Regions from separate parts of the Mus musculus genome. Here regions 1, 2, 4, 5, 6 and 7 are each reported to be linked to region 3. The links are microRNA targets in miRTarBase. Many come from high-throughput screens and were not tested one by one. Region 3 holds a microRNA gene; each other region holds the end of a gene's coding sequence. Distances are from middle to middle.
What was found. Region 3 holds the annotated microRNA mmu-miR-181a-5p (AACAUUCAACGCUGUCGGUGAGU, at 1,214-1,236, opposite strand). A microRNA usually pairs through its seed, bases 2 to 8, with sites in the 3' UTR of a target mRNA and lowers its output. Matches are read on the target gene's strand: a 7mer-m8 pairs with bases 2 to 8, a 7mer-A1 pairs with bases 2 to 7 and ends in A, and an 8mer does both.

Region 1 (4,067 bases), not on the chromosome of region 3:
CCTGCATTCATGGTCTTTTCTACTGTGGCCAGGAAAAAAAAAATCAACCCAAATAGACTCTCAATGGACTCATGGCCTCCTTACTGTTGGGTTTCAGATGTTAGATCACGATTCCTTCAGCATGTAGACGTCAGAGACTGAGCATTCCAAAATGCTAAGGCCACTACTACCAACCCAGCTTCTTAGTTAAACTATAGAGCCACTTGGAGACTGGCAAATGCAGAGACAGAAAACTCAAGAGAGACCATCTGACCCTTGGGAACTCTTTATCCACTGGTATTTACTCATGACTATGGTAGTTGAATGAGTGAGACCTCAACTATGAATTGTCCTGTGGCTGGCTCGTGGGGCACTGGGCGTCAGATTATGTTGAGTGAACACAAGGAAAACTGTTGAACAATGGTGTGGCTTGTGACAAGAACTCAAGGTTTACACAGTGCCCTCAGAAGTTTATGTGACACTCTCTAGAGAATGAGCACCATGTCCTAGCAATCCACACCTCAAACTCGAAACACACACCACAGGGCTTTGCAAAACCTCCATCAGGGGTGCAAACCGCGTGGTTCTATCAGCTACGAATCTTTAGTGCATGTGGAGACGGGTATCTCGGCTGACAGTCATTTGCTCCTATCTCTAAACTACGTATGTATGGACCGTGAGACCTGGAAATGAGGGAGAAGTGAGAGCACCTTGGGGTTCGTTTCCTTGTACCTTCCTGCTGTGCTACATCTGTGTTTCAAACCAGGCCCTGCAAGCCGACCCTTTTCCATGGCTGCAGCTTTTAGGGAGCTTGACGGACAGTTTCTAGGATCCTCTGTGCAGGGGGGATGCCTTACCTTAAGCTATTGTGTGCATGGCTCAAAGGGTACCAAAGTCAGAGTGGTGGGGGAAAACAGGCCTGTTGAGCCATCTCTGAGAAAGGAGACTTAACTGTTAAGTGTTAAGGTGCTTACCTGGAGACCGTCTACACTCTTTGCTTTCATTTGAGACCAAAGTGAGCCTGGAAATGACAGTAGGTACAGGAGAGAAGATGAGGAAGATACAGGAGCGATGGAGTCAACCAGGAGCCATTTCCTAGAGGAAGAGGCCCTGGCAGTACAAAAGCATGGCCTTTGTTATTCAAGGCAGCAGAGTCCTGACCTAGGGGTAGAAAGTTATAGGTGGAGCACTGAAGGCCTTGGACTGGGGGGGGTGGGGGGAGGTGGGTGGAGGGGATTGCCTGGGAGCTGTCTAAGGAAGATCTGAAAAGCTAAAATTAAGCTTAAGAAAAGCCTTTATAAATGAACTCAAAAGGCGGCCAGTTTCTCCTGCCTCCTGTTGGTATCATCCGTCAAGGAAAAATGGTTCTAAGAATCGTTATTGTTTTCTAAATAAGTGGTGGGTTCCTTTAGGAGATAGTAAACTTCCAAAGAGACCAGCAGTCATTGTCAGTCAAAGGGCAGTCCTGGCTGGGTCTCCATGGCTTCTTTTGCAAAATGGTCAGAAAGAATGGTTCTGAAAAATTTGAGGTTTAAAACTTTACCATACTTGAAGTACCTGGGGGTAGGGAGTATGTCTTCGGTACATTTGTGAAATGAGGAGAGTGGCTTGGAAAGGGAATAGTTCATCAATATTTTTTCCTGCAGTGGAATGACTATACTGGCAAACTGAGGTAGCCATGGGTCATGACCTTGACTTTAGCGCAGGTCTTGGTTGGTTTCTGCAGGAGTTATTGTCAGTGCTGTGCTACTCTTAGGTGGGCATGCAAATGCAATCAGCACCACCAGTTTGAAATTAAACCTAGAAGGTAATTAATGGTGGGTGGGTCCCAAGGGGTTTGCTTTGAGCCCTCTGTTTGCCTCATCAGGAAGTTCGGGTGCTACGGCTAGGAAAATTGTGATTTGTATCTTAATGAAAACAGTTGTGTCCAGAATGATCTTGGGGGGGAGGGGCAAGAGCTGGGATGTACAGCTCAGTGGTAGTGTATACTTAGCATGCAAGCAGTCCCTGTCAGTCCCCAGAACCAAACAAACACAAATCTATCATATTTTTTTTAAGATAGAGGAAAAATATAGTATATATGATAAAGAAAAATGGCTATATGCTAAAATACCAGGGAAAGAGGTCCCCAGTGGAGCCCACTGGACTACAGGAGGTCTGTAGAGATTATAATGCAAAATTCAAAAGGCAAACACAAACAGGAGGAGAACAGAAGTCATGATTCTGAGGTACAAAACTGGGAAGGCACCATCCCGGCGCCACAAGGTCGTCTTCCCATGGTGGCCTCACATGGCTCTCGCTCAGTACAGTAGCCAGATCTGGCTTGGCTCAGAGAGAGCTGTGGCTAGCAGAGCTGGGGCTTCCGATTGGGGACCACTGGGCCTTTGTGGCATAAAGGAACCAAGGATTCATTTCCTGTCTGGTTGCAGGGGGGAGTAGGGGAAGGCAGACATATTTCTCAGGCAGTTATTGAAAACATCTGCAGGAGTTTGTGGTGTAACCAGAAAGTCCTTATGACTCGGCTGCTCTAGTCCATTGTAAGTGTGTGTGTGGGGGGTGGACTTGGACTTCTCCGGGGCCGATCGAGTTCTTTGAGGGAACCATGTCAACAGGCATGGAGACAGTTTCCCTTACAGCCTCTTCTAGCTTCAGTTCAAGCAATGTCCGAGTATCTTCTACACACTTCCACTGAGTCTTTAACCTGGATCCAGGGAGATGAGTTTTATGGAAGGGTCCACCACTGAACTCCTTCAAGCCATGAACTGAAGGTCCCACAGGAGCCTCCTTCTGTGACCTTCATCAGGTGCGGGCTGCTACTCTGGACAGGGTTAGAGGTGCTTGTTGTCGGTTGCTAGGCAACGAGTGCTCATCCCACAAGTGTCACAGATCATGCGTGGCAGGTGATGACACTCCAGTAAGACCTGGGATTTGGGTTCTCTTGCTTCTGGGACACTCACCTGGGCTACACTAAATCTGAAGCCATACGCAGTGTTGGGTGAGGTGTTGCCTTCATTACAAGGGTGCAGCATTGGATTTTTCAAGTAAGTCTAAGTGTTTCTATTGTCTTTAAAACGACGATAATGTCCAGTTATTAAAAAAAATTACAAAATACAAATGCCCATGTTAATTTAGCTAGTCCCAGACATCATTACATTCGACACAACATAGAAAAGCCAAACTCTCCAGTTATAAGCGCAAGACCAAGGAAGGTTGTGGATCACCCACTCTTGCCACTAATTCATTTTCATCTTCAGACATCCCCCCTCCCCTCGTGACCTTTGTTTTTACATCGTGCAAGACTTGTCTGTGGGACCCTGGGAAGGTGCGGCAGGTCCCATCGTAGGGTTTGTTTTTGGAAGAACAGCAGGCTTTGGCCTAAGGGCTGGGGGCTTCAGCTGGACGCCCATCCGGGGCGCCACCATAGGCTTGAAAGTACTCATTGTCTCGCTGGAGGAGCTGGTGCTCCGGCGAATCTGTGGCTCTGAGCCCCTGAGGGCGACATTGTGCAGTGGGCTGAGTGATTCTGTGGAAGTCGCAGGGGTGGGCGAGTTCTTCACTTGCTCCAAAGTGTCTAGCACGACATCGGGGGCGTGCTTCACTGTGCTCTGCCTCTCGAGTTCACGGAGTTCGTTCAAAGCAGTGTTCATGGTCTCCTCAATATCCTGGTGGAGAAAATAAGAGAGAAAAGGAGAGACTGGTGATCACAGAAACAAAGAGGAGAGTGTGAATACTTGAACTTTACAGTCTGTCCACAGGGTTTGTACGCTGCCACCTCGTGCATCTGGGTTGACTCTAAATGATCTGGAGACTTAGAAGCAACGCACATGGAGCCACAGATCAAACAACTGTCATTCGGAGGTACTAGGCCACCTACTGAGGTCTCCATGTCTTGTGCGTGATTGATCAGAATTCTGTTTCATCTTTGTGTGTGTGTACATGTGTGCTTGCACATGTGCAGGCCTGAGGGTCAACCTCAGGTTGTTGTACTTCAGGTATTGTCCCTTTTGTTTTGAAATAAGAGTGTCTTGCTGGCCTGGAACTCGCTGTTTAGGATAGACTGACTGGCTGGCAGACCCTTCCTTCGGATC
Region 2 (4,059 bases), not on the chromosome of region 3:
CCGGAGGAAGGTGAGCACTCAGCCGGGGCCGAATTGGGTTCGGGGATGGGGGGTGGGAGGGGTCCCGGGAGGTGGGTACGAAGCGAGCTGAATCGGCTCAAAGCCACCTTGGCTTCCCACCCCAGCACGAAAAAACAGATTACTCTAGGGTTAGAAGACAAGACTGCGGGGCGGAAACTGAGGCACGGAGTGGAAAGGGACACTGTTTGCTTAGGCAAACTGCACCTCCCCCGCCCGTACAGCTCCTGTGGAAGGCGCTCTAATACAATACCCTTTCCCTGTGTTCTCTCTATCCAGACTCCTCATACCTGGATGGGGTGTCCCTGCCCGACTTTGAGCTGCTCAGTGACCCCGAGGATGAGCACCTGTGTGCCAACCTGATGCAGCTGCTGCAGGAGAGCCTGTCCCAGGCGCGATTGGGCTCGCGGCGCCCTGCGCGTTTGCTCATGCCGAGCCAGCTGGTGAGCCAGGTGGGCAAGGAACTCCTGCGCCTGGCATACAGTGAGCCGTGCGGCCTGCGGGGGGCACTGCTGGACGTGTGTGTGGAGCAAGGCAAGAGCTGCCATAGCGTGGCTCAGCTGGCCCTCGACCCCAGCCTGGTGCCCACCTTTCAGTTGACCCTGGTGCTGCGTCTGGACTCTCGCCTCTGGCCCAAGATCCAGGGGCTGTTAAGTTCTGCCAACTCTTCCTTGGTCCCTGGTTACAGCCAGTCCCTGACGCTAAGTACCGGCTTCAGAGTCATCAAGAAGAAACTCTACAGCTCCGAGCAGCTGCTCATTGAAGAGTGTTGAACTACATCCTGGGGTGGGGTGCGGGGAGGGTTTCTCACTGCCCCCCAAAGTGAAGACAAGGAATTTCTGTGGTGGAGACCCGCAGGCAAGGACTGAAGGACTGTCCCCTGTGTTAGAAAACTGACGATAGCCACCTGAGGGGCGCAGGGCCAGGTGGGGGAAGGAAGTGTTCTCCAGGAAGTCTCTAGGTTGTATGCAGGTGGCTCCCTGTTGGGGCACACGCCCCTCAGTACTGTAGCATGAAACAAAGGCTTAGGAGTCACACAGGCTTCTGGCTGGATGTGTATGTAGCATGTACCTTATTTTTTTTTATTACTGACAAGTTACAACAGCAGTTGTGGGCCAGAGCCAGAAGGGCAGCTGGTCTGCACTGGCCTCTGCCCCGGCTGGGGGTTGGGGGCTGGGGGGGAGGCAGGGGGAGGTGGCCGACAGTTTGTGTATCTTCTGGTCTGAAAGGACCTAGTGTGTTTTGTCATTTGTTTTGTATCTTGGTTTTGGGGGGTGGGGATCGGCGCTTCACTACTGACCTGTTCGAGGCAGCTATCTTACAGACTGCATGAATGTAAGAGTAGGAATGGGGTGGGTGTTAGGATCATTCGGGATCTTCGACACTTGAAACAAAATTACACCTGGGAGCTGCAGCCAGCCCATCCCGGTGCCCATGTACTGGAGGATTCAACTGTGAGGAGAGGGGCTGGGGTGGGGGTGGGGGGCTGGAACCCTCTTTTCCCAGAGGAGTGCCACCTGGGTCTTCCATCTAGAACCTGTTTACATGAAGTTACTCGCGGTTCATGAATACACTTGATGTTCAAGTATTAAGACCTATGCAATATTTTTACTTTTCTAATAAACATGTTTGTTAAAACACTTGAGTCTCATCGGCGCCATAAATGAAAAGGGAGAGTGGTGGGTGCTGGTCACAAGTTTCATCAGATTTCAGGGGCCACTTGTGTGTCCCCTGACTGCCTGGTAACTGCCATCAGAGCTCCTGGACTGCCTGGCAACCTGGGAACTGTGCCATCAGAGCCAAGGTCCCTCAGTTCTGCTGAGTGGAGCTACCAGGAGAATGTGCTGGAAAGCACCCGAAGGTGAAAGATGAGTCAGACCTCCCTGGAAGTCTGAGTCTCTACAAGGAGGGTTACCTTGCTCTCCAGGTGAGAAGGCCCAGTCTCCTTAGCCTAAGGCCTTTTCTCTGAGGAAAAGTCTAGACTGATGTGGTACATAGTCAAGGGTATGGTTTTATCTCTGGGTATAAAAAAAGGTTAAGAGACCTTTGCAAAAGACAATTCAGTTTAAACCTCTCCCTAGGCAAGAAACCTAGGCTCAGGAGATGTGGCCCAGGCAGGAGCAGAGACCATACAAAGGCAGGGGGATGACGAGGGTGACCCCTGACTTCCTTCCCAGACAGAAGGCTGGAGTTGGGTTTCTTATCAGAAATGTTGGAGTTGAGCCAAGAAGGCCAAGGCCTTTCTCACTTGTCCCCGACTCCAGAGTCCACCCACACCAAGTGGCCCTTGGAGAATGACTGTCTCCTTTGTTTCTCTTCCTGATCCCAGACTGCCTTTGTGTGCCCCAAGACTGTAAAAAAACGGTTCTTGGTTTTGCATCCTTTTGGAGGGCTTAGTTAGAACAGTTCCCTCAGGCTGGGGATGTAGCTCAGTGTAAAGTACTTGCCTGACAAGTAAAAGACCCTAGACTTATCTCCACATCTCCCACCAACCACAAAGGAAAGCCAGATCCTTCCAGTGAGCTGAAAGCAGAGACTAAAAACATCTGGTTTTCCTCGGGGATTCTATCCAGGACCTGACCTTTGGGGTAGCCCAGGAGACCCACATCTCTTTCATAGAATCCTCAGAGCTTATTCCCCAAAATGAGTAAACCTGAGTTAGAAGCCAGGTGTGACAGTCAATGTACAACCGGAATCCCAGTACTTGAGAGGCGAAGGCAGGGGGATTGCCATGAATCCAACCTATATAGTGAGCTTGAAGCTAGCCTGGGCTGTAGAGTCAACTCCAGACTTGCCTGGACTAGTCTAGATGAGTTTGAGACCAGCTATAATAACATAGATTCTACTTCTCTCAAAAATAAAGTAAAATAAAATAAAGCAAGGGAAGGAGGGTGGGAGGGAGGATACAGACAGCCTCACCTATCTTAGGGTCCCTCTTAGTAACCATCCTAAGAGGGGTAGGTTGGGCAGGGGTGTTCTGTAATGTCTTTGGGCATGGAGAATGACCATCTCTTCAGACAAAGGCTGACCCATGCTCACTCAACCTGAGGGTGCAGCCCACCCCCACCCCCCTTTAGCTGACAGATGCTGTTCATAAAACTGAGACTATGACATTGCTTGCTCCTCTGTGTTCCTAACCCCAAGCAAAAGCCAGGAAAGCCACAGCCAGCCCTTCCCCTGCCTTGGTATCTCCAGGTCTGAGTGGGTCCTTCCATTTCAAAGCTGGTCAGATGGAGGTAGGAGGAAGGACTGCTTTCTTAGAACCAGTGTGACCCAGAAGCCTAAAAGCCGGCTCAGCACCAGACTCTACTCTCTCAAGTAACCTCTGCCAGGGACATGGGCCTCTCTGCCTTTCCTTTAAAACCCAGAGAAAAGTATCAGCCTTCTAGGTCTCTCCTCTGCCTCCCCCCCCCTGCATCCTTCACAATGGCCATGTTGAAATCTTGGCAGTCCTAGATGTTATTGTATCTGCTTCCAGCCCTGCGGGGTGCTCTAAGGTTCCTCTGGTGTATAGTGTCAGAATCATCAAATACCCACTCTCCCTAGGCTCAGGGAACACTAGGGCCTTCCAGCCTCGTGAGGAGAAAGTGCAGAGGAGTGTACTTGTTCTGTATGCCTATCAGCTAGCTTAGGGAAACAGTACAGGCTTTGGTGCAAAGGATTGAACCCAGAGCCTTATCCATGCTAGACATCTATCTGCTTTGCTAGCTGAGCCTAATCCCCAGCCCGGGAGCTCTCAGAGGAGGTCTGTTCTTTGTAGCTAGAGCTGCATGATTTAGAAGTGATGAGCTCTGGGTTCAGACCCTGACTCAGACATTTTGTAGCGGATAAATGAAAACAAGTCACTTGATCTTTGTGGTCTGTAAAGAGGTGATGACATTGGGAAATGACTCTGAAGAGGATGTCACTGGGCTCCACTGTGGGCAGAAAAAAAAGCCAGCTCTGGGTTCGAGCAGTCCTAGGGCTAGCTATAGAACAAGTCCCCTTCCACGGGGACTCCTTGGCTCTCTGCTCTTGTTTTCCTCTTACATCTTTTCAAAT
Region 3 (4,067 bases):
CTGGAGCAGTACTTCCGTACTCTGGTGACTCTCTGGGAGTACTTTTGTTTCTTTGCGTTTTTTGGCCCGCAGTTTGCATTCATTGATCAGTGAGTTGGTTGACATTCAAACCCACCGACAGCAATGAATGTTGAGTGCAGCCATCAATGTTTCCTTTTGATGAAATTGTCTTGGTCTTTTCTATCTCCTGGCTCTTCTTCCCACTATGGTTCTTTGAAGTCTGTTGTATGTTAGTAACTAGTCATCTGTATGGTTGTGGACTCATAATTATAGATCACCTTGACTGTATAGCAAGAACTTGTTCAAGACAGAAAAGTTGTGAGGAAGAAGGCACTATGTGAGAACCTTGTAAGTAGCTCTGATCACATGGGCTGAGACTTGGATGTTGATGTCTGTAAAGGAGCCCTCAGAGACATTGCTTCATCTTTTGTTTCAAGCTGAGACGTTAAGTGCCCTTTTCAAGGTAAAGCAGTATAGATTATGATTGCAGTTAAGTAAAAATTTTTGTAGTAAACATTTGCTGTGAGCCAGAAACTGTTCAAAGTACCCTCATATATCTTCTCATTAAATTAAAACTCTGAGGTTCTCTCCTCTCCTATTCTACATTTGAGAAAACATACTTGGATACGGAGGCTCAGAGATGACCCAGAATTCCTTAAATTAGCACATGGAGATGGAAATGTATCTGGTTCTCTCATGGAGATGTCAAATCCCTAACCGCAGTAACTGAAACTGGAGGCACAATATGATTTGTATAGACAGTGAGTAACTCTGTGAGTATTTTTGCTGAGTAAATCTCTTGACCCTAAAGCAAAAATTTGAAAGGACGTAGAAGAAATGAGAATAAAAGACTTAACTAGATTTTTTTCCTACAGTAAATAGACATTTTTAATACACCCTATTTCTGACTAGAATGACACATTTCTAGAAGATATTTGAGTGCATTTGGTACTATGATGGCACTTCCCATAAATTGTTAAAATGAAACACTTATTTATCAAGAAATTACAAAAAATAGACAATATAAATACATGGAAGCTTAAAAAAAAAACTTGCTGGTTCCCTTTAGAAAAGAGGCCACAGGACTGTATCTTGTGATGTCTGTCACATGATATATCTGTACAGCCTACTCCTTTGCTTCAGGAAACTTGTTGTCTGTAAGAATCCCAAGGTACAGTCAACGGTCGGTGGTTTTTTTGTTTTTGAATCCCAAACTCACCGACAGCGTTGAATGTTCCATGGAGTCCTCTTAAGGCTGGCTTGGTTGCCCATCTTTGGCCTGCTCTCATATTCTAAGGACCACTGCTGTTGGGTCTCTCACATTCTTCCCAAAATTTCAAGTTAACAGTACTTACACTGTGAAGTTAGTTTGCATAAAGCAGAAATGAGCTGCAGGATTGTGAGACTGCAGTTTACATTGCTGACTAAAAGTGGATATCTGTGGAAATATTTTTCAATGCTATCATTCTGAAAACATCAATATAGCAATTTTGTAGTAATACTTTAATTATTAATGTACAAAAACAAGAAAGACCATAACACATGCTGGGGACTTATGTGTAGTAGGATTTGTATATTTAATTCCAACCGTGTTTTCCTTAAGAAACAGAGACTTACCCGGAGTTCCATAGCCAGAACTTGAACACCAGAGTTCATTGTTCCAGTATTGGTTGGATATGTTGCTTTCTCCTTCCTTTACCAGTCTCAGATTTGAACCTTTACTGCAGAGCTAAATCAAACAAGCAAATTCCTTCTTGTTTGCCTGTAATAGTAGAAAATACATCTAAAGTCATATATTTCAGAGAAAAAGATGAAAAACAAAACTCAGTAGCTGAGAATCATGGGCTGCTAAATTACCACAGAAGTGCTAGTGATGCTCCATGATTTTTTTTCCCCATATAGGAAAAGTAAAAATTCTATGTGTACTAGAGCACAGAGAGTGTATCTGGAGAGATGACTCAGCAGATAAGAACTTGTACTTTTCTAGGCGGGACTTTGATCCCAGCACCTGTCTTAACCACAATCTGTAACTACCAATTCTTGCTGCAGGGATCTGTCAACTCAAGCCTTCACAGGCACTTGAACAAACACACACACACATACATACATACATACATACATACATACATACATACATACATACATTCATTCATACATACATACATACATACATACATACATACATACTTAAAAAATAAAAATCTTTAGAAGAACACAGAGCAACTAAAATGCCAGATGTATCTGATCTTTGTTTTGGGTGGTTATTTTTTATTACTTATTGACTTTCTTTTCCCCCCTCCCTCCCTCTTTTCCTCCTCATTTTTTTCTCCTCTCCTCCCTTCCCATCCCTCCCTCTCTTCCCCTCCCCCTTCCTTCCCCTCCCCTTATCTGGAACTCTCTTTATGTAGAGCAGGCTGCTTCAGACTCAGAGATCTGCCTGCCTTCCTCTGAGTGCTAAGATTAAAGGTTGTATCATCATGCCTGGCTATTTATTGAATATTTTTTATGAAAAGTCTTGAAAACTAATTAAACATTTTTCAGAATATTGGCTTTATTTTAAGCAACATAGAAGCTTTGTAGAGCTGCTGGCTGAATTGAGGTTAATATCTATCTAATCTAGGATACTTTGTGTTTAAATATTTTCTTAAATGTATTTATTAAATTTATTATTTTTATGTGTATGGGTGTTTGCTTAAGTATATGGCTGATAATCTCAAAGGCCAGAGGAATGTGTCAGATTCCCTGGAACTAGAGTTAGATGGTTATAAGCCCACATATGGGTGCTGGGAATCAAACTTGAGTCTTCTGGAAAAGCAGCCAGTACTCTTTTTTTTTTTTAAAGATTTATTTATTTATTATATATGAGTACACCTTAGCTGTCTTTAGACACACCAGAAGAGGGCATCAGATCTCATTACAGATGGTTGTGAGCCACTATGTGGTTGCTGGGATTTGAACTCAGGACCTCTGGAAGAGCAGTTAGTGCTCTTAACTGCTGAGCCATCTCTCCAGCCCCCAGTACTCTTTAACCAATGAGCCATCATTTCTCCAGCCGCTTTGGGTTTAAATACTGATGGTTGACCTAGCTGAAGATTCTTTTTTGTGTTTGTTTGTTTGTTTTCGAGACAGGGTTTCTCTGTATAGCCCTGGCTGTCCTGTAACTTACTCTGTAGACCAGGCTGGCCTCGAACTCAGAACTCAGAGATTCACCTGCCTCTGCCTCCCAAGTGCTGGGATTAAAGGTGTGTGCCACAATGCCCAGTGATGAAGATTCATTTTTAAAGTAGCCAAATGGCACTTCTTGAGAGGGAAAAAAAAAAAAAAATCAGCGAGAATTTGGTTCAAATGGAATTGTTTACATTCTGCATCACTTTATTTCATTCTCCATCAAAATTCTTCTCTTTTTTTTTTAATATTTATTTATTTATTATATGTAAGTACACTGTAGCTGTTCTCAGACACTCCAGAAGAGGGAGTCAGATCTCGTTATGGATGGTTGTGAGCCACCATGTGGTTGCTGGGATTTGAACTCCTGACCTTCGGAAGAGCAGTCGGGTGCTCTTACCCACTGAGCCATCTCACCAGCCCCAAAATTCTTCTCTTGTAATCTTTGCTGAGTTCGGTTGTTGTGAAATGGAAGCCCAAAGAAATGAAAATATAGGGGCTAGAGAGATGGCTCAGTGGTTAAGAGCACTGACTGCTCTTCCAAAGGTCCTGAGTTCAATTCCCAGCAACCACATGGTGGCTCACAACCACCTGTAATGAGATCTGATGCCCTCTTTTGTGTGTCTGAAGACAGCTACAGTGTACTCATATAAGTAAAATAAATTTTTAAAAAGGAAAGGAAGGAAGGAAAGAAGGAAGGTAGGTAGGAAGGAAGGTATCTTCCTGTGTAGTAGTTTAAAACCTCTGGCTTAGGTTTATTTTAAATGGTCTTTGCCTTTGTCTCCTAAGAGATGTCAAGCTTTATATTACTTAGAACAGATAATCAGAAACAGTGATATCTGCTGCACCAAATTAAAATATAAAACCTGTTCTTCAGTGTACAGCATTCCAAGAATCCTGTT
Region 4 (4,067 bases), 220 kb from region 3:
TTTCTGGTCTAAGTTTACAAAGGTTTTTTTCTCTTCTCTTCTGGAAGTTTTTATTTTAGATTTTGTCTTTTTACACATTTTGATTTCTACTACAGCTTTTTTCATACATGCAATGAGTTTTGGGTGGCGGGGCTTGTTTAGTCCCATATGTGGATCTCTCTGAGGATTTGTATCAATTTTGATGGTATAGAATATAGAGCCTAACAGTCATAAAGGTTAGCAAATATTTGTGAAATAATTCAGTATGCTAATATATTAAGCTAGCCCATATGAAGCTATATTAAGAGGTTAAAAGTGTCACTTGTTAGTAATTCAGTACAGTAGCCAAATGTGATTGTGCTCTCCAGAAGGCTAGCAAAAGAGCATTACCACGTGTTTGAGGGATAACAAGATCCCGTCTAAAAGTCAAAAAAATAAATAAATATACTAGTAATAATAACTGGTAAGAGAAGAAAATAAACATTTAACTTAACATTTAATACTGTTAAGCCAAGTAATTTCCTCGCAGCACTCTGTGAACCTGACTTTCCTTATTTACCAGGAAACGCGAAATTACCCAGAATCCTATCCACAACTGCCAAGGGATGAAACCGTAGAGAATCCTCACCTTCAGAAGCACATTTTGGAATTGGCCTCCATTCTGGATGTTCGAAACATCTTCTTTGAGAATTCTATGGATGACTATTAAAACCCTCTTGTTTAACAGTTTTTCATTTTCCACAGATTTTAAATGGTGCAATTTTTTAATGTAATGACATAGTGTGTTACTTGGTTTTTATTTTTGGATTTAGGAAACACCATTTTAAAAGCAAACTGAAAAAAGTTCAAACTTTTAGGGTAACTTTTAAAATATAATCTTTCAAGTCTTTTAAATTCTCAATCTTGAAATTTTTATTTTTTTGGTCTTGGCATTAGATACTTACCTCCAACATCTACCCCCACATTCAAATAGTTACTGTTGTCACCTTAAGAAGAACATATATTGTTTATTTTTCCATAATGAGGACAATCCATAAGTTAAACTTGGACCTGGAAGTGTCTGGATTTGGGAAATACCTAATTGTTCATAGAGGTGAAACTGGCCACATGAAAGTCAAGAGCAGAGCCCTTCTGTGGAGTTGCTTTTCACTTCACACTAATCGGTAGGACATAAGTTACTCTCTGATGTACAAACTGATGTCTTGAGATCTCTGAATTTCATTAAATGATGTTAAATTTTTAGAACCTATTTAGAATTGTTTGCATCTGGAAATTAAATTTTAAATAGGAACTTTAAGATGACAGATATTTAGAATATGAGTACTATTATGATTTGTTTGCATATTTACTTTTCTTTGTGGTCTATGAATGCTAAAAATGCAAAGGAAAATACTTTTAAGTATTTCAGCCAAAAATCAAGTCATTGGTTTCATAGTTGGATCTCTACACAGATTCTTCGTTGGTTGGTTTTAAACAGTGTTGTAATGGATTCCTTGGTATATCCGCTGCACAGTTTTTCTAATCTTTTTTCATATTCAAGTTTCCAAGGCATGGATGTTAGAGAGACTCTGTGTGAGTTGAGGATAACTGGGTGTTAAGGAAGTAAATCGTGAGTTAATTTTGCTTTAACAATTTGGAAGATATTAAAACTCCCTGTGTTTTGTTATTTTATATTCATGCACAAGTTTTGTTATTTTAAATAGGACTCAATATGTAATATAAACGTTTTGTACATCCTTCCCTCCATCTCCTTGGTAATCTCAAAGGTCCTAGCTGTGAAGGTTCTTCCTTCCTGGCATCTTTTGGTTGCATGGCATTTAAATTCAGAAATCTGTGAATTGTAGGGTCTTCTGCCTGTGTCTACCCCTGACAGTCCTAGAGAAATGAGGTGGTTGTTTTCAGTACCTCTTTCCTGTGGCCCTAAGGAAATTTTTGATATGGTATTTTAACCCAGTTAACTCTCACTAGAGCATCACGTGGGTGTAAGTTGTGGCCATATCTGCTCCAGTGCACTTACTTTGTGAAGTCCAGGTCATGGTTGGGTCAGGGACTTAGGAAGTTTCATTTGCTTTTAAAATTGTTTGTATGTTCTTTCAGACAGTATTTTTAAAAGCTTAGAAAAAGGTTAATCTGGAAAGAGCCCTTCCAGATAGAGGTTTTTCCTTTTTAAAAGGCCTACTTCCATTTGTTTGCAAATCATGATTTTCCTTTTATAAACTTTCCTCCTGGAATGTAGCAGTAAATATTCCTTAGTAGTCTGGCCTCTGTTCCAGTTCCCTTAAGTACTGACCAACAATGCATACTTTCCTGTTCCCTGACATCTAAAGTGGCCTTGACCAGTGTTTTATTCTTTTTTGCTAAGCCTAAGGACCAGTTGTTTCAAAAGCAAGAGGTCTGAGTTCTAATCCTGGCTTTTCTAGTAATGAGCATGATATCCTTTGACAGACAAATAATCTGTTTTTTAGCACTCTTCCATATAAAATAGAGCGACTCGGTTAAGATCCTATTCCTGTTTGTGATTCTACAGTTTGGAACATTTGTTCCAAAAGTGTTGATTTCCTCCCCATTGCTTCCAAAAAAGTTGATTTGTGTGGTTTTAGCACTATAATATCCTTTCTATATCGTGTTTACTAAGGTGGTTCAAAACAAACCAAAAAATCCTAGGTCATACTTTGCTGTTTTGAGACTTGCTTAAAGAGACTTTCCTGGAGAAATTAGACCTTCCATGGTCAGAAAAAAAATGTATGTTGCAGATGCCAGTGTAAAACTAGATTATAACATGGGTTCTTAAACTAATAGAAATACAGTTCCTAACTCGTGGTTAAAGATATAAAATGGACCAAAGCTGTGGTTGTAGCTTCTTGGTAGAGCATTTAGCTAGTATTCAGAAATCCTGTGTTTGGTCTTCATCACTAGGGGAAAAAAATATATTTTTAAGAAAGAAAACAATAGAACCAATTTTGAGCTGGGTATGGTGGTGCATGCCTTTAATCCCAGTGCATAAGAGGCTAAGGCAGGAAGGTTGCAAGGTCAGAGCTAATCTAGATTATATAGCAAAAGTCCACCTCAAAAACAATTGTTAAGAGATCTGAAATCTTTTGAAAGCAAAACTGGAGTAGGGAATTTGAAACTTTAAAAAAAAAATCTTTGCCTTAAAAAATAAAAACAAACATACGTCACACATACCACATTATTTTTTTAATGGCATTGAAATGTAAGCAGAGGAGACTTAAAAATCTTTGCCTTGAGGATTAAGATCGGGCTTAGTATTAGAACCTTGCCTAGCATGCGTATATCCCTGGTTTCCATCCCTGGTACTTAGAGGTATAGCAAGAGCATCAGGAGTTCAAGGCCATCCTTAGCTATACAGAGTAAGCTCTAGACCAGCCTGCACTACAGTATGAGACCCTTTTGCAAAAATAGATTTGCCTATTTTAAGCTCCATTTAATCTTAGAATTTTTAAAAACTTAAATAGTAAGACTAAAAAAAGCAAAGCCAAGGGAGCAACATTTTTGTACTCAAATTGCACAAATTTCTCTGTAGATTCTGATAAAGTTTCTGGTGTCTTAAGAATCACTATAAACAAACTAGGAAGAATCAGACTGTAAGAGACTGGTTATGCACAAAGCAAAGTGAAGCACAACAGGATTTTCTTTCTGTATCCATGTATTTCTGATACTAAACCTTCCCTGTCTTATAGGAAGCAAGCTGAGATGTCAGAAGCTACTGGTTATTTGGTGATAGACATAACAAACACGAGCTCATCTCAGCCCAGTTGCTTAAACTTCTTTCTGTAATAAACAGGAGGGAAATTTTTAGAGCTGTATAATCTTAACATAAAAATTAGGATTTTGTTCTGTTTTGGAAATTCAAACCAGTCAAGATAAGGCTCAGTCATAGAGTGCTTGCCTAGCATCTGCAAGGCTCTGTGGTTAAATCCCAGTATAATGAATATTCTCGCCAGTGAATCAGCCACCACTAGCATTTTTTATTAATTATAAAATCAGATTTTTTTTCTTTGATTTTAGGCAGTATATATTCTTTGTAAGTATATCCCTCCTAGGAAGCGGTGCTCTCAAAAACTTTC
Region 5 (4,067 bases), not on the chromosome of region 3:
TGAAGAATGGGTAGGTATGAAAACACTCCACAAACATTACCGAGTTCTATGTACAGTGATTGCTTGAAGTTTAAAAGTCGGGGTTAACTAACATTTCTTATTAATGTCAAATCAAAACATCAACAGTTAGATCCGAGATGACAGCAATGCCGGCCCAGATCAGATGGCACTGCTGTCACCGCTCAAGCAAACCTTCATTTCCTTCTTTTTCTATCAACCCTGACATTTCCATGTGGTGGAAACACTGCCTGACTTCCAGACCCCTTTCAGCAGATTCAACACAGCAGCACAAAGTTCACAGCCACAAGTTGCACATAAAGGGTTTATTTTAATGTTTTAAGGAAGGATAAGAGTTACATCATAATTATAAAAATTACTTACAGAATTAACAGTTGTACTGTGTATACTTCTAAATGCAGAGAACAGGGAACCGTCTACACGTTGTATAAAATAAAATTAAAATTAAAAATGAATTCAAGCTCAAGAAAATGAGGTCATTTATCTAGTTTTAAATGTGAACACGAAGACCTCTGAACTCTACTCATTCGTTCGAACTGCACCAATGATGGAAACTACAGAGAGCGCAGCATTCCCAAGGAACACAGACATTTCCACCACAATTACTTGTAGTATTTTTCCTGTGTCATCTTTGGAGGACTTTCATCTCTTAGACAATCAGTGTTAAGTGTTTTCAGGCACTACAATTTGTGACGGTCAGAACAATCTTCCTTCTAATGGGTCTACAGTGTTCAGAGATTCAGGCCCAATGCACTTTGGGGTTTGGCACATAAAACAAGAATAGAAATGAAATCTGGCTTAGAAGCAACTGTGATCTTTAGAGCGTGCACAGTCCCTTCGAATGCTGCGTGACATATACAACTGGAATCACCTTCGGTCGGCGCTACGACTGCTTCACCAGTTCGTCTTTACCCTACAACCACTAGAACAGCACAGTAAGCAAATATACAGGAAACCAAAAGCAAACTGAAAGAAAGAGAGAAAGAAAGAAAGAAAGAACCTAGGTCTCTTTGACATGCAATTTTAGTTTTAGTTACATTGAACATTCTACTTAGAAGAGAGCATGCAAAAATGGATGGTCTGCTTTAAGGTTCTTCTCTGAAGTTTACGTGGCAGCCTGACGTCACACACGCACGCACACACGATACGATACTAGAGCAGGTAAGTGAAGAAGGCCAGTAAATTTTATACACAGATTCACGGCCCGTGTTGCCACAAGCCCCATGAAAATTTTGGAAATTAATGCTGAACTCCTAAATGAGGAATCAACATTCAGATACCAGAACAATGCAAGCAATGCATGCAGATCTGAACTGTGAGCCTAAGGGAAGTCCAAGGTGGCAGGCCCAGGAGTCTGTCACCATTAAGGGTGGTGGAAGCCACCAAAAGAAAGAGGGTGGGGTGGGGGAATTAAAAAAAAAAAAAAGAAAAAAAAAACAATTAAAAGACAAACAAACCAAACCTTCCCCTTCCCTCAACCTTATGTAAAGGCAATAAATGGAATCGTGATCAAAATCATCCCCGTCCTCACGCTTTCCTCCTCCAGCCTGGGAGTCCACGGGGAACCAAAGTTAACTGAGGTGGCTTGTAGAAAACCACAATGTAAGTCATCAGATAGTGGCAGACAGGTTCTAACTGACCCAGTCCTTGGGACACTTCAAAAGGAGTTTTACTTTCTAGTCACCATGCCATGTTCTGCACCGTTAGTGCATGCAGGACGTACTCACACCCACTTGTGCCACAGATGACAGCATGGGCTGTGAGTCAGACTCAGCTCGGAGATTTACATGCAGGACGACACCTGGTCACATATACTAGAGGCACCAAAGACTAGGGTATATCATACTGCCTTGAGAAGCCTGTCCCTGGTGCCTATGAGAAAACACTGAGCACACAACGATTGCAGCCAAGGACAGAACTGAGGTACTATGTTCACATGGTGAGCAGTTGTGACCACCCAGCAGTGTAAGGTGGTCAGCCTCTGTGAAAACTAAATGGATAGCCAATAACCATGTGCCTCGAACAGTGAAAAATTTCTTGCATCAGGAAGAACCCCAACTAGGTAATTGTAACTATACTTGGCCAAGCCTCTGGTGTTTGCTTGACAGTATCCAAGACTGTCCAGCCACAGATAGGTTCAACCTCCGTGAGAAACTGGTTTTTACAAACCATCTTTCTACCAGCTGACAAGCTACCATGGTTCTTCCAAAACAAAGTGAGAGCAAGCAGATGTTTGGCTAGTCTACCAACTGCATTTCAGTTCTATTTCAGCTTTAAGCAACCTCCCAGGAATAATCCTGAATGCACTTGATGGCGAAGAGCTGCGATCCACCCATAACTGGCAAGCATGACCTTCCCAGCGACACACACATCATAGACATGCAAAGCCCGGAGGCCATGGAGGGAATAAACCTGCGTGAATAGCACACCTGGGGCAGGAACAGACACTGCCACAACAGGATCAAGGCAAGAAGCCATACTGGTCTAACATTCTCTGTGGGGAAAGCTAGGAGGAGAGGGAGTGAGGGAGGAAGGGAGAAGAGGCCTTCTGACCATAACCATGTATCAATAGTAGTAATCAAAATTACAAAGTCCCAGAGAACTTGATAGAAGGCAACAAGGCCATCCTTAAAACTTACATTTCTAATACAAATGCACTGTTCTTGCAGGAATTCACCACATATACAAACCATTGATGTAGTGTTGCCTTTTAAGTCCATGTACTAAGATCCCGATGACAGGTGTGTACAAATGGACCAATGTGCCATCTAAAAACACATCTTTATTATTCCATGTGAACCAAGGACCTGGGTCGTGGTTTAAAAGTACTTACGATTAAAGAGTAAACAACAGAAACAAATAATAACAAAAACCACAAAAAAACAAAGCTTAGAATTGAAGGCAGCCTTTTACCCAGATTTCTCAACAGTTTACTAAAGACTACTGTGGGTCATTGACTGTTTATGGCTAATTTATACCTGGACTCAGCTAAAAGCCTCCAGACTGAAATGGTACTCAGAAATTCTGACTTTTTAAACAACCTAAATGTCTCTGTGTGCTTCCTGTGCCCAAATTTAATTTTAAACAAAGAGCAGGCATATTATAAATATGACTGACTTGGGTCAAGCACTCCTGTTGAACTGGAGAAAACGTTATCACCCCCACCCCAATCCCCAAGGAAAGGAGAGCCAGCGGTGAGTGCCTCTGTGTGTGTATAATATATACATAGGCACACAGATGCAGATCTAGACAGGTAGCTATATAGATACATAATCTCTCAAAAAAGGCAGTAACAAAAATAACAAACTATGCTTGCATTGTGGCAGCAGAATAAGACAGTGTCAGAGTGAAGGGAAAATGGTTACAATCTATCCAGGTTTAAATGACTATGATACTAGCTTAACGTTTACCACCTTGCTTGTAACCCCCAACAGACAGCTTTCTTGTAAGAGGGAAGACCCCCTCACACAGATGCTTTGAAGAGGGAGGACTCCCCTCACAGATGCCTTGTGTTCGAATCAGTCTGCACTATTCAGAACAACACCAGCTCTGCTGGTGGAGATTGTGGGTTCGCAGGGACATCTAAGCTTTCATTAAACTGGAAAGCAATCAAGTCTTTATGTCTACAAATTATACATTTAATAGTTCCACAAATTTGGCAAAGTTTGTGATGACATCTAGGATGTTTTCACCAAATCGTAGACGTAAATATGGAAATCGTCATCAAACTTGATGAAATAGACAGAGGGCTTGGCCTCTACTTGGTGGATGACCATGCCAGTCCTTTTCGAGCCGTCTTCTTTGGCATATTCCACTTGCTTGCCTACCAGGCTGTCCACAACTTCTCCTGGCTCCCTTTCTGCTGGAGGCGAATCATCTGTATTTAAAAAGGAAAAGGAAAAAAAAAAAAAAAGTCAAGTCAATATTTAGATAGATCACTACCACATTTTGCAGCAAATATAAACACTTCTAAGATATCCTGAGTTTATCATGATCTCGTCAGGTTAACACTTCCTTAAAGGATTACTCTGTAAGTATTTCAGGCACAT
Region 6 (4,067 bases), not on the chromosome of region 3:
GTAGAAATACAATTAGTAACATTTGTCAAAGTGGATTTGTCCTTTCCACCTGGCTGGAGCAAATCTAGTTTTTCTAGGTTATAAATCCCTTTGAAATAGTAGTTAGATTTATACAGAGACTGCTTGATAAACCTCAAGAAGTCAGGAGATACAGTAGTCTTGGGAAACTGTCATACATCAAAGAACAGATATCCTGGTATGTGTAGAAAGTCAACTTGGTCCTTTTGTCAGAATGGCCTAAATGTGAAAGAAAATCTCATACATGCAATCAAAGTGAGCTGTTATTTCTTTTGGCATGTGGACAAACTTGTCTGCATCACTCCGGGAATACAATGAAAAAACACAATTTCTGACAAAAGGGGAACGGCTAGGTATAAAACATAACTTGTTTGATAAACGAGATTTAAAAATATAAAAAGGAAAAACAATTTCACTCCTTTTCCCCTAGAAAAACTATGAGTAAAAACTTAAGGCCACAACTCATTATGTATGAAATGGTCAACTCAAAGGGAGCTCAGGCTTGCTGAGTGAAAGAACTCTCCTCGGCAGTCAGTATTTCTCTGTGGGACTGTTAGCTGCAGGGTGGCATTTTATTTGACAGCATGGACTTGGTACATGTCCATTTTCAGTGCCTTGAAAAACCAAACAATTTAAAAGTTAGCAGCAGTTTCTGCAAGGTACAAAAATACACATTTGTTACATAACACGGTAATAAAATTTGTCAAGATATATTATACAAACTCATCGCATTTGAGATAAAGAATCAGTCTAATATATTATAGATTGATGGAGTCTAATAAAATGACATGTCTGTCTTCATACAATACTTTACAGCAATATTAACAGACTATTCACATTAAGTATCCTGGGAGCATCTAAGGAAACAGAGTCAGAATGGTTGGCAGAGAGCCTTACCAGCTATTTTCTTCTATGCTTCAAACTCAGTGGATGATTTTTTCTACTGGGCCATTATGAAAGGAGGTGGGGAGAGAAAAGCCAGGACACTTTACTTTGTTTAGGAGACATTTCTTACAGAGAGACAATCTAAGCCATAAGATCTTCATTCACATCTTGCAGTTCTGACAGTAGTATGCTCTAAAGGGAAGCGTTGATCTGCCAACTTTATATACTAATACCACAAAAGATATGGAGGGCATGGAGGAGTCTTCATATGGAAGTGGTTGGTTACATCTGGTTGAGATTGCAAGTGTCATGAAGGAGCTCACTGGACACAGAGTTTGAAAGTTAATTATGATTAGGGTAAACAGGGCCATGCCTGAGAGGTAGGTGGCACTTCAATATTTAATACTGATATAAGTCCTTACCCTATAACTGACAATGTGATCTTTAGGAGAAGGAGACATCTGCCACGAGTTTCCTGGTGACTGGTAGGAATAATAATTTGGGATAAGCTATTTTTTGAGTGGATTTTTTTTTTTAAACAGGGATTCAAGAGATCACATAGACTTTAGGAAACTTTTGGACTAGGGGAGTAGCTCAAATGAAGGAAGATGCGCATCTATCTTAGGGTGTATCCTTCCATTACATTCTGGCTGTGGAAGGAAGACATACTGATGTAGCCTTGAAGGTAGAGAGAGAGGACAAAGGTCTATGATAAACTGCCAGGGTCTAAACTTGAATATTTATAAACTATAAATCATTTGGAAAAAGTGGAGAACTTCAGCAAGAAAACCCAAAGGCAGTGGCCATCAGAGACCACCCAAGAGCAATGTCATTGTGTTCTCCTCAATAATCTTACAGTCTGCCAATCTCAAATCGGGAACAATCTGTAGAATGAAAGAATAATTAACAGCTGTCCCTTGTCTCCTCTTGGCTGACTGTAATCTAACAGGAAGGGCTACAGTGAAACATTCCACAGAGACGCCATATTGATAAATACTGCTTGTGGAACCAAGAAGGGAGAGCTGTTGCAGGAAACTGCCATTTTTCAAAATGAGAAAAGTATGACTTATATAGAGAAGTGTCATATGGTAACTGGCCATTAGGTCTAAGTTAGAGGGGCCACTTTCTGTAATATCTTGTATGTATTGCAGGACCCAGCTTCCTGATCTGGGTATATCTGTGCACACAAGTGTCACATGGCAACTGGCCATTAGGTCTAAGAAAGAGAGGCCACTTTCTGTAATATACTGTATGTACTGCAGGACCCAGCTTCCTGATCTGGGTACATCTCTGCACACACTTACTGATCACAGCACAATACCATTGCATGGCTGCTACCAACTCCAGCATCTCTTGTTTCTCTGAAGTCTTGCCCCTGAGATTAGTCAGCCAGGGAAAACTGACCTCGAGAGTAATTTCCCTAATTATTATGTGGCTATTCTTCTGCGCTATGAGATGCATGCTATCAGCAGGTTCCTTTATGTAGGGATACGTTACATTCCCAGAACACAGTTGCATAGGGACTGTGGGTAGGACACTAAAATGGGGCAAACTCTTCCTTCCTTGTCTTTGTATCTCCATTTCAGAAAGATACATGTGAATGCACTCAACCCTAAGAGAAAGTCAACAACAACAAAAACCAACCGAGCTGCCCGATTACAGGCTGTGTTGTCCCAGCACCCATGGCACTTTACCCACTAGTTTTCTCTACTCTGCCTTCATCAACGAGCTGGTCCCAAAAATGACCCAGTGAAGATATGTGACTAAGAACAGCCACAGAAATGGCCACTGACTTGGCTTTAGGGACAGATTTTACATGATTTCCTTAGTGAGCATACATGCTTTTCTGAGTGGCTCAGTGGCCCCCCTTTTCTTGCCTACTTATTCCATGGCATAAAGATGGCTTCTCTCTCCCACTCTTCTCTATGTGTCACCGATGCTGCATTTAAAGTACTCTGGTCTTCTCAAAACACCTGAACTCTTAGACTGCTGACACGAACAGGCATCTTCTACAGAGGACACTTCTCTACCCTTCTATCAGTATCTGAAAATCTCAGGAAAGGACTTAACCCATGCTTTAATAGGAAAAGCCTTCCAAAACCTTAGATCATGTAACGTCTCAACAAATTTCTGCCACATAATCTCAACAAAGAAATTACCATATTAGCAGTGATTGTCCTTGTGCTACATGCCCTCAGGCACCTTATAAATGGGGTTATCTAATTACTGTCTGTGTTTTTATTGGCCCAGTTCCTGTTCTTAAAGACATTGGATTATTTTGATATCAGATTCTTATTGTAGGTAACGGTCTTTGGTTAAATATCTGTCCCCGTCATCGCAAATGTTGTAGGTTCTGCACCTGGGTTGGCTGTATCCTCCGTGGTCTCCAGACTTGAAGAGGCTCCTTCCCAAGGGTTATCACAAGGGTACTGCCCTCCACTCTCTTCTCCCTTATATAACTTCATACAAGGCTTGAGTCTGCTTTCTGCCAGGTGGAATGGAGAGCCGGCATGTTGCTCTGAGTCCTGACAGGCATAAGAACTGAATCCACAGGCTGTTTGCCCAGGTCCTTCATCTCCCTGTAAGTCATCCTGACTCTCTTGTAGAGAGTCAGCCTCTGGGGTACCGGAAGCACATGACGGCAACTCCAGAGGCTCTTTCAGGGAACAGACTTTCCTGTCTTCTGGTCTGGCTGCTTTTGTTTTCTTTTTGAGGGACCAGTTTTTTAAAGTGACCAAGCCACTTCTCAACCACGCACTGGGGTGAAGGGTTACAGAATGCATTTGTGATGGCTGCTCCGTGGTACCCTTTCTTAAATAAGCTAGGTGGCTGCTGGCCTGACCCATGGAGGGACCGGGCATTCCGGAAAGGCGGCTGGGACTGTCAAAGTCTGAAGACAGCTCTTCTTGTTTTCTTTGTGTCTGGAAAGTGCAATCTATTGGTGAGGAGGTTTCGGTGGGCGTAAACACGGAGTGTTCAGAGATCTGAGAGAAAGCGCTGTCCTGGGAGCTTACAGAGGAGCCGGATGGGGACGAGCCTGGAGAAGATAAGCTTGAATAGCTTGCCCTTGGGCAAAGGTTTAGTCTTGGGGGCAAAACCTTCTCAGTGCTTTGGTGAGAGCTGCTGCTCTTGCCCACCTCAATGCCCATGACCAAACTCTGATT
Region 7 (4,067 bases), not on the chromosome of region 3:
GGTTAAGGGTCTGGGCTTAGAGTACCGGCCAAGCTTGGTTCCAACACCAGGGTCTATCAGGACCAAGTTCATCTTTTCAAAGAACTTGGTTTCTTTATACACTAGAAATACTGGGGGGGGGGGGGGGAGAGGGGGGCACATCATAAACTCAAATTCAAACACACAAACTGGGACTGAAAATTTCCAGTTTCCAGATCTAATTTCACAGGCTTCCTTCCCTGTGTAACAACACACTCCTATTACGGGATCAGGACTGGCTCCCCATACCCTTTAATTCCTTGGCTTCCCCTGCCCCTCCCCCCTTTTCTTCTATGATAAAAAGGGTGGTATGCTGGTGTCATGGTCAGCTCCAGACCCAGTGACATCACACCTAGGCAACAGTGACCTACACACCTGTTGCCAAGACAACCACCACCATATTCCCAGAATCCATTTGGCTCACTTCCCACCACTAGGTCTCCATTTAAATAAAAGGCAGACCCCTCTGACCTCTCTCTCCCTCTTCCCCTCCCCCACCCATCTCCTTCACAGCCACCTTTGCCCTTTTCTCCTACCATAAACCACGTGGAACTGTTTGGCCTGGTGTGGTCTGTCTGAAGCCACACTTCTAACACAACACCTATGACCTCAGCATTTGGGAGGCAGAGGCAGGAAAGTGAATATATGGTCAGCCTAGGCTGCATAGAGACCTTGCCCCAAAAAGAAACTAAAAAAAAAAAAAAGCACTTCTTTCAAGTTTCAGCCTCAACTACACTATGCAATTATGAAGAGGAATATATAAAACACAGTAACACCAAAAACTTTGGATCACCCCCCCACACACACACATATAATTTTTCTTTTGAAAACCAATGCAGTCCTTCAGGAGGGCCGGTTGGACCACGGTTCACACATCCTCCAATGCAGTGTGAGCCACTTACTTTCCGTTTCTCGGCTTCCCTCGTGGAATTAAGCATCACACAGTACTGGTGCTCTGGTGCCTCATTTACAGCACGGGAAACACTGGTTAGCATTAGGCCGAATCGTAAATATTTTTTAGATAGATTCAGGATGTCATGACTTCTTTCCATTGGAAGAAAGAAAACATGTATTTTCCAATGTGGAACTCTAAATGACTTCGTGTAATACAAAACGGGTGCTGATTTCTAAGTTCAGAGTTCTTACTGCTGCCAAGCAACAGACACCTCTGCTTTGAAGATCAGCATCACTCGAGACACTCAGTGCTGTCAGGGACAGAGTCACACTCATCCCTGTTCACAGAAGCTGACAAGGAACTTTCCAGTAAACAGAATTTTAGGAAGAGACCCTTTGGTAATGCAGTTTATTGAACCAGCTCTCCCTACTCAAGCGTTTCCGTTAAACATTTAAGGTCTCTGCTCCCCGCAGATCTAGCTTCACTTCCATGGTCAAAGGAGGCCATTTCAGAAGGCACTTGCTTAACCGAGCACAGGCTGGTTAGCCTTCAAGATTTTGCCACTCTTGTGGCTTCAAGTTTCTCCTCTTCCAGTCATATAGGCATATTTTCATCTTGGATACACAAGTCAGCTGGAATCTCACTGTCCAAAAGGAATTTAGATAGGCTGGCCTGTCCCCTGTAGAGGATAACCTGTGTGTGCACTGGTATGTACTGGTGTGTAAAGGGGGTATGGGAAGGTAAAAGACAAGCACAATTCCATGTATATCACTCCTTTCTTAGATGGAAATAGGGTTTGCTGAAATGACATAGAAAAAGGTCTTATAATTTAAACCTTATTGTAGAAAACAAATAAAGGATTTAATAATCTAGTAGTCCTTGAGACTGGGTGAATGTGAGTTCATGCTCGTGAATGTGCACGCATGCGTGCGCACACACACACACACACACACACTTAAATGGGTCCATTTTAGTTCCACGTGGGTTTTTCCACACACTGGCTCTTGATATCAAGCTCTGGTCTGCAGGACACCAGAATGCCTTTGTGTCCCTTGCTGACACTACGACATTGTGTTTTTTTCCCATTATCCAAGGATAAATGACCTAGATAGTGTGCCTATTAAAGCCTCATTTTTCTTCTGCCCTTTTGTCTACTGTGTGCCCCATTATCACAGGCTGCACACATTTTCAGGAGCCCTACTCTCAGATGCCCTTTCAGGGGAGCAATAAGAGGTTTGTGTGTGTGTATGTGTCTGCTGAGATATCTGGCGTGGAATTACATGAAGGTGGTAATTCAAGGTTTTCCTGTCCATCTGGTCTTGGAGACAACTAGTGTGTGTTACTAACAGCTAATCTAGCATGAGAAGACACGGTAAGCAAAGTCCGAATGCCAGAATGCTGTATTTGCAGCTATTACGAATTAAAAAAAAAAAAAAAAGTGGACACCAGCTCCCCTGTACACTGCATTCTATAACTACATCTCTGCATATCATGGGTCACTTTTATTAAAAGCATCATTACTACAGTTGGCAGAAATTTACATTTTATCTTACATGATAGCAGTTTTCAGAGAAAAAAAAAATCAAAGGACATCACAACAAAGAAAAACATTTACAAAGTCCTGTCTGTAAACTTCAAGGCTAGTTCAGAGCTGAGGTAATGCTGTTTTAGCTTTGTGGCTAAAGTAACAAAGTCCTTTAATTTAAAAAAAAAAAAAAGGTACCTGATTCTCACTTCTCTCAATCTTCTATTTACTCTTCTATTTATTTAGTTTTTACCAGTGCATCACAAGACCACAAGCCAATGGAACTGCAGTTGTCTGGCAAGAACCCTCCCAGAAGGTTAGTTTTCCAAAGGGACCCTTCACATTCAACAGCTGCCTGATTATTGCTGAGCCTCGGGACAGAGGCGTTCACACTAACGTGGAGATTGTCAGAGTGTATGGATGTGTGTATGCAAATGTGGGAACCCCCATAAAGTCAGAAAGGGAGACGAATGAACAAGGGATGATATGTATGGTAAATTTCATCTTGACCTTCACAGCAAAAAAAATTAAAATTAAAAAATTAAATATATAACTTCATACGTCCTCTGAGTAGCACTTCCTTCCACTAGTGCCGCTCTGTTACAGATTGCTCTTTATTATAATACCAGTGGTACCCAAAGAAAAAAGCAGAGCATTATGTAAGTTTCCTTAAAAAGACATGATCACCTCTCAAATTTCATCCTTCCTAGGGATAATAAATAATGCACTGCACAATACTTATGACCAAGATACCTTCGGACACACCTGCATAACATGACTTGGACTTTTTTCCTTTTTTTTTTCTTTCTTTTCTTTTTTTTTTCTCTTCTTTTTTTGCTACACTATGTTACAGAACAGCTTATAAAACTAGGTATGAACATTAACTGTGAGTGTAAACAGTAGGACTACCACCTGTCAACAGTTTTCAACACTTTCAGTGGAACTGCTGCTGCTGTTACTCGTCGTTTCCGGTGTTTTCTATCTCATCCCCGCCTTCGAGGGAGTCCAGCTCTTCACCCTGTGCAACCTCGTCTTCCAAGATGGAGGACTCTACAGTCTTGTCCAGGTTCTCCTCGGCATCGCTGCCCTCCAGGGTCTCTCCGTCTTTACAGGGCCCTCCCTCGGCCTTGTCAGCAGCCTTTTCTTCGCTGGTACCCACGGCGTTTTGGAGTCCCGCCAGTGCTGGGAAGCCAGGCAGTGTCAATCCCCCCAGTCCTGGAGGTAGAAACATGGATGGGTAGAAGAGGCCTGGGGCCATGGTGGACAGGAGGAAAGGGTTGAAGGCCAGCGGGTTGGAGGGTAACGCAGCCGGGGCAGTAGCAGCACCAACAGATCCGTTCGCGGAGTCAGCAGCCGAAACGGTGTCTGTGCTTTTCTCAGAGTCTCGGTTCTCGTCTTCATTGTCGTTTCCTTTCTCTTCCGCTTTGGAAGTGCCATCCTCTGGCTCTCCTTGACTTGAAGCAGTAGTGGTGTTTCCAGTAGCAGCTGAGAGAGGGTTGTTCAGCAGCCCGCCCAAGCCGAACACGTTGGGCAGGCCCGCCATCCCTGGCAGCATCAGGGGCAGCACTGCGGCGGGGCTCTTCGCATCGCCTCCGGCGGTGGCAGCTGTGGCCAGTCCTGGAGGGAAGC

Region 1: miRTarBase lists Srgap1 as a target of mmu-miR-181a-5p. Seed matches in the 3' UTR shown: 7mer-A1 at 3,129-3,135.
Region 2: the mRNA of Ddit4 is a reported target of mmu-miR-181a-5p. Seed matches in the 3' UTR shown: 8mer at 1,349-1,356.
Region 4: miRTarBase lists Scai as a target of mmu-miR-181a-5p. Seed matches in the 3' UTR shown: 7mer-A1 at 2,208-2,214.
Region 5: the mRNA of Spin1 is a reported target of mmu-miR-181a-5p. Seed matches in the 3' UTR shown: 7mer-m8 at 1,287-1,293.
Region 6: the mRNA of Arhgap20 is a reported target of mmu-miR-181a-5p. Seed matches in the 3' UTR shown: 7mer-A1 at 2,398-2,404 and 7mer-A1 at 1,544-1,550.
Region 7: the mRNA of Chd7 is a reported target of mmu-miR-181a-5p. Seed matches in the 3' UTR shown: 7mer-m8 at 2,779-2,785.

What each region holds. Positions count from the first base shown.
Region 1 is chr10:121,782,135-121,786,201 of GRCm38, forward strand. Srgap1 (SLIT-ROBO Rho GTPase activating protein 1) reads right to left here. Exons shown (of 22, transcript NM_001242411.1): 22 at 1-3,641. The coding sequence ends at 3,264. Among named protein-coding and RNA genes, the nearest start is that of Gm46183, 11 kb to the right of the region's middle.
Region 2 is chr10:59,947,268-59,951,326 of GRCm38, reverse strand. Ddit4 (DNA-damage-inducible transcript 4) reads left to right here. Exons shown (of 3, transcript NM_029083.2): 2 at 1-10; 3 at 298-1,652. The coding sequence ends at 791. Among named protein-coding and RNA genes, the nearest start is that of Ddit4, 2.5 kb to the left of the region's middle.
Region 3 is chr2:38,849,910-38,853,976 of GRCm38, reverse strand. Mir181a-2 (microRNA 181a-2) reads right to left here and starts at 1,242; the gene lies at 1,167-1,242. The region is part of intron 3 of Nr6a1 (nuclear receptor subfamily 6, group A, member 1); the gene reads left to right. It overlaps Nr6a1os (a long non-coding RNA gene), which reads right to left. Exons shown (of 7, transcript XR_866167.2): 3 at 1,618-1,762. It overlaps Mir181b-2 (microRNA 181b-2), which reads right to left and starts at 147; the gene lies at 59-147.
Region 4 is chr2:39,071,631-39,075,697 of GRCm38, reverse strand. Scai (suppressor of cancer cell invasion) reads left to right here. Exons shown (of 18, transcript NM_178778.3): 18 at 542-4,067. The coding sequence ends at 688. Among named protein-coding and RNA genes, the nearest start is that of Gm30067, 6.5 kb to the left of the region's middle.
Region 5 is chr13:51,148,790-51,152,856 of GRCm38, reverse strand. Spin1 (spindlin 1) reads right to left here. Exons shown (of 6, transcript NM_146043.4): 6 at 295-3,895. The coding sequence ends at 3,696. Among named protein-coding and RNA genes, the nearest start is that of Nxnl2, 20 kb to the left of the region's middle.
Region 6 is chr9:51,849,551-51,853,617 of GRCm38, reverse strand. Arhgap20 (Rho GTPase activating protein 20) reads right to left here. Exons shown (of 15, transcript NM_175535.4): 15 at 559-4,067. The coding sequence ends at 3,219. All of the region lies in intron 1 of Arhgap20os (Rho GTPase activating protein 20, opposite strand), which reads left to right. Among named protein-coding and RNA genes, the nearest start is that of Arhgap20os, 24 kb to the left of the region's middle.
Region 7 is chr4:8,865,982-8,870,048 of GRCm38, reverse strand. Chd7 (chromodomain helicase DNA binding protein 7) reads right to left here. Exons shown (of 38, transcript NM_001277149.1): 38 at 1,600-4,067. The coding sequence ends at 3,394. Among named protein-coding and RNA genes, the nearest start is that of Gm46842, 43 kb to the left of the region's middle.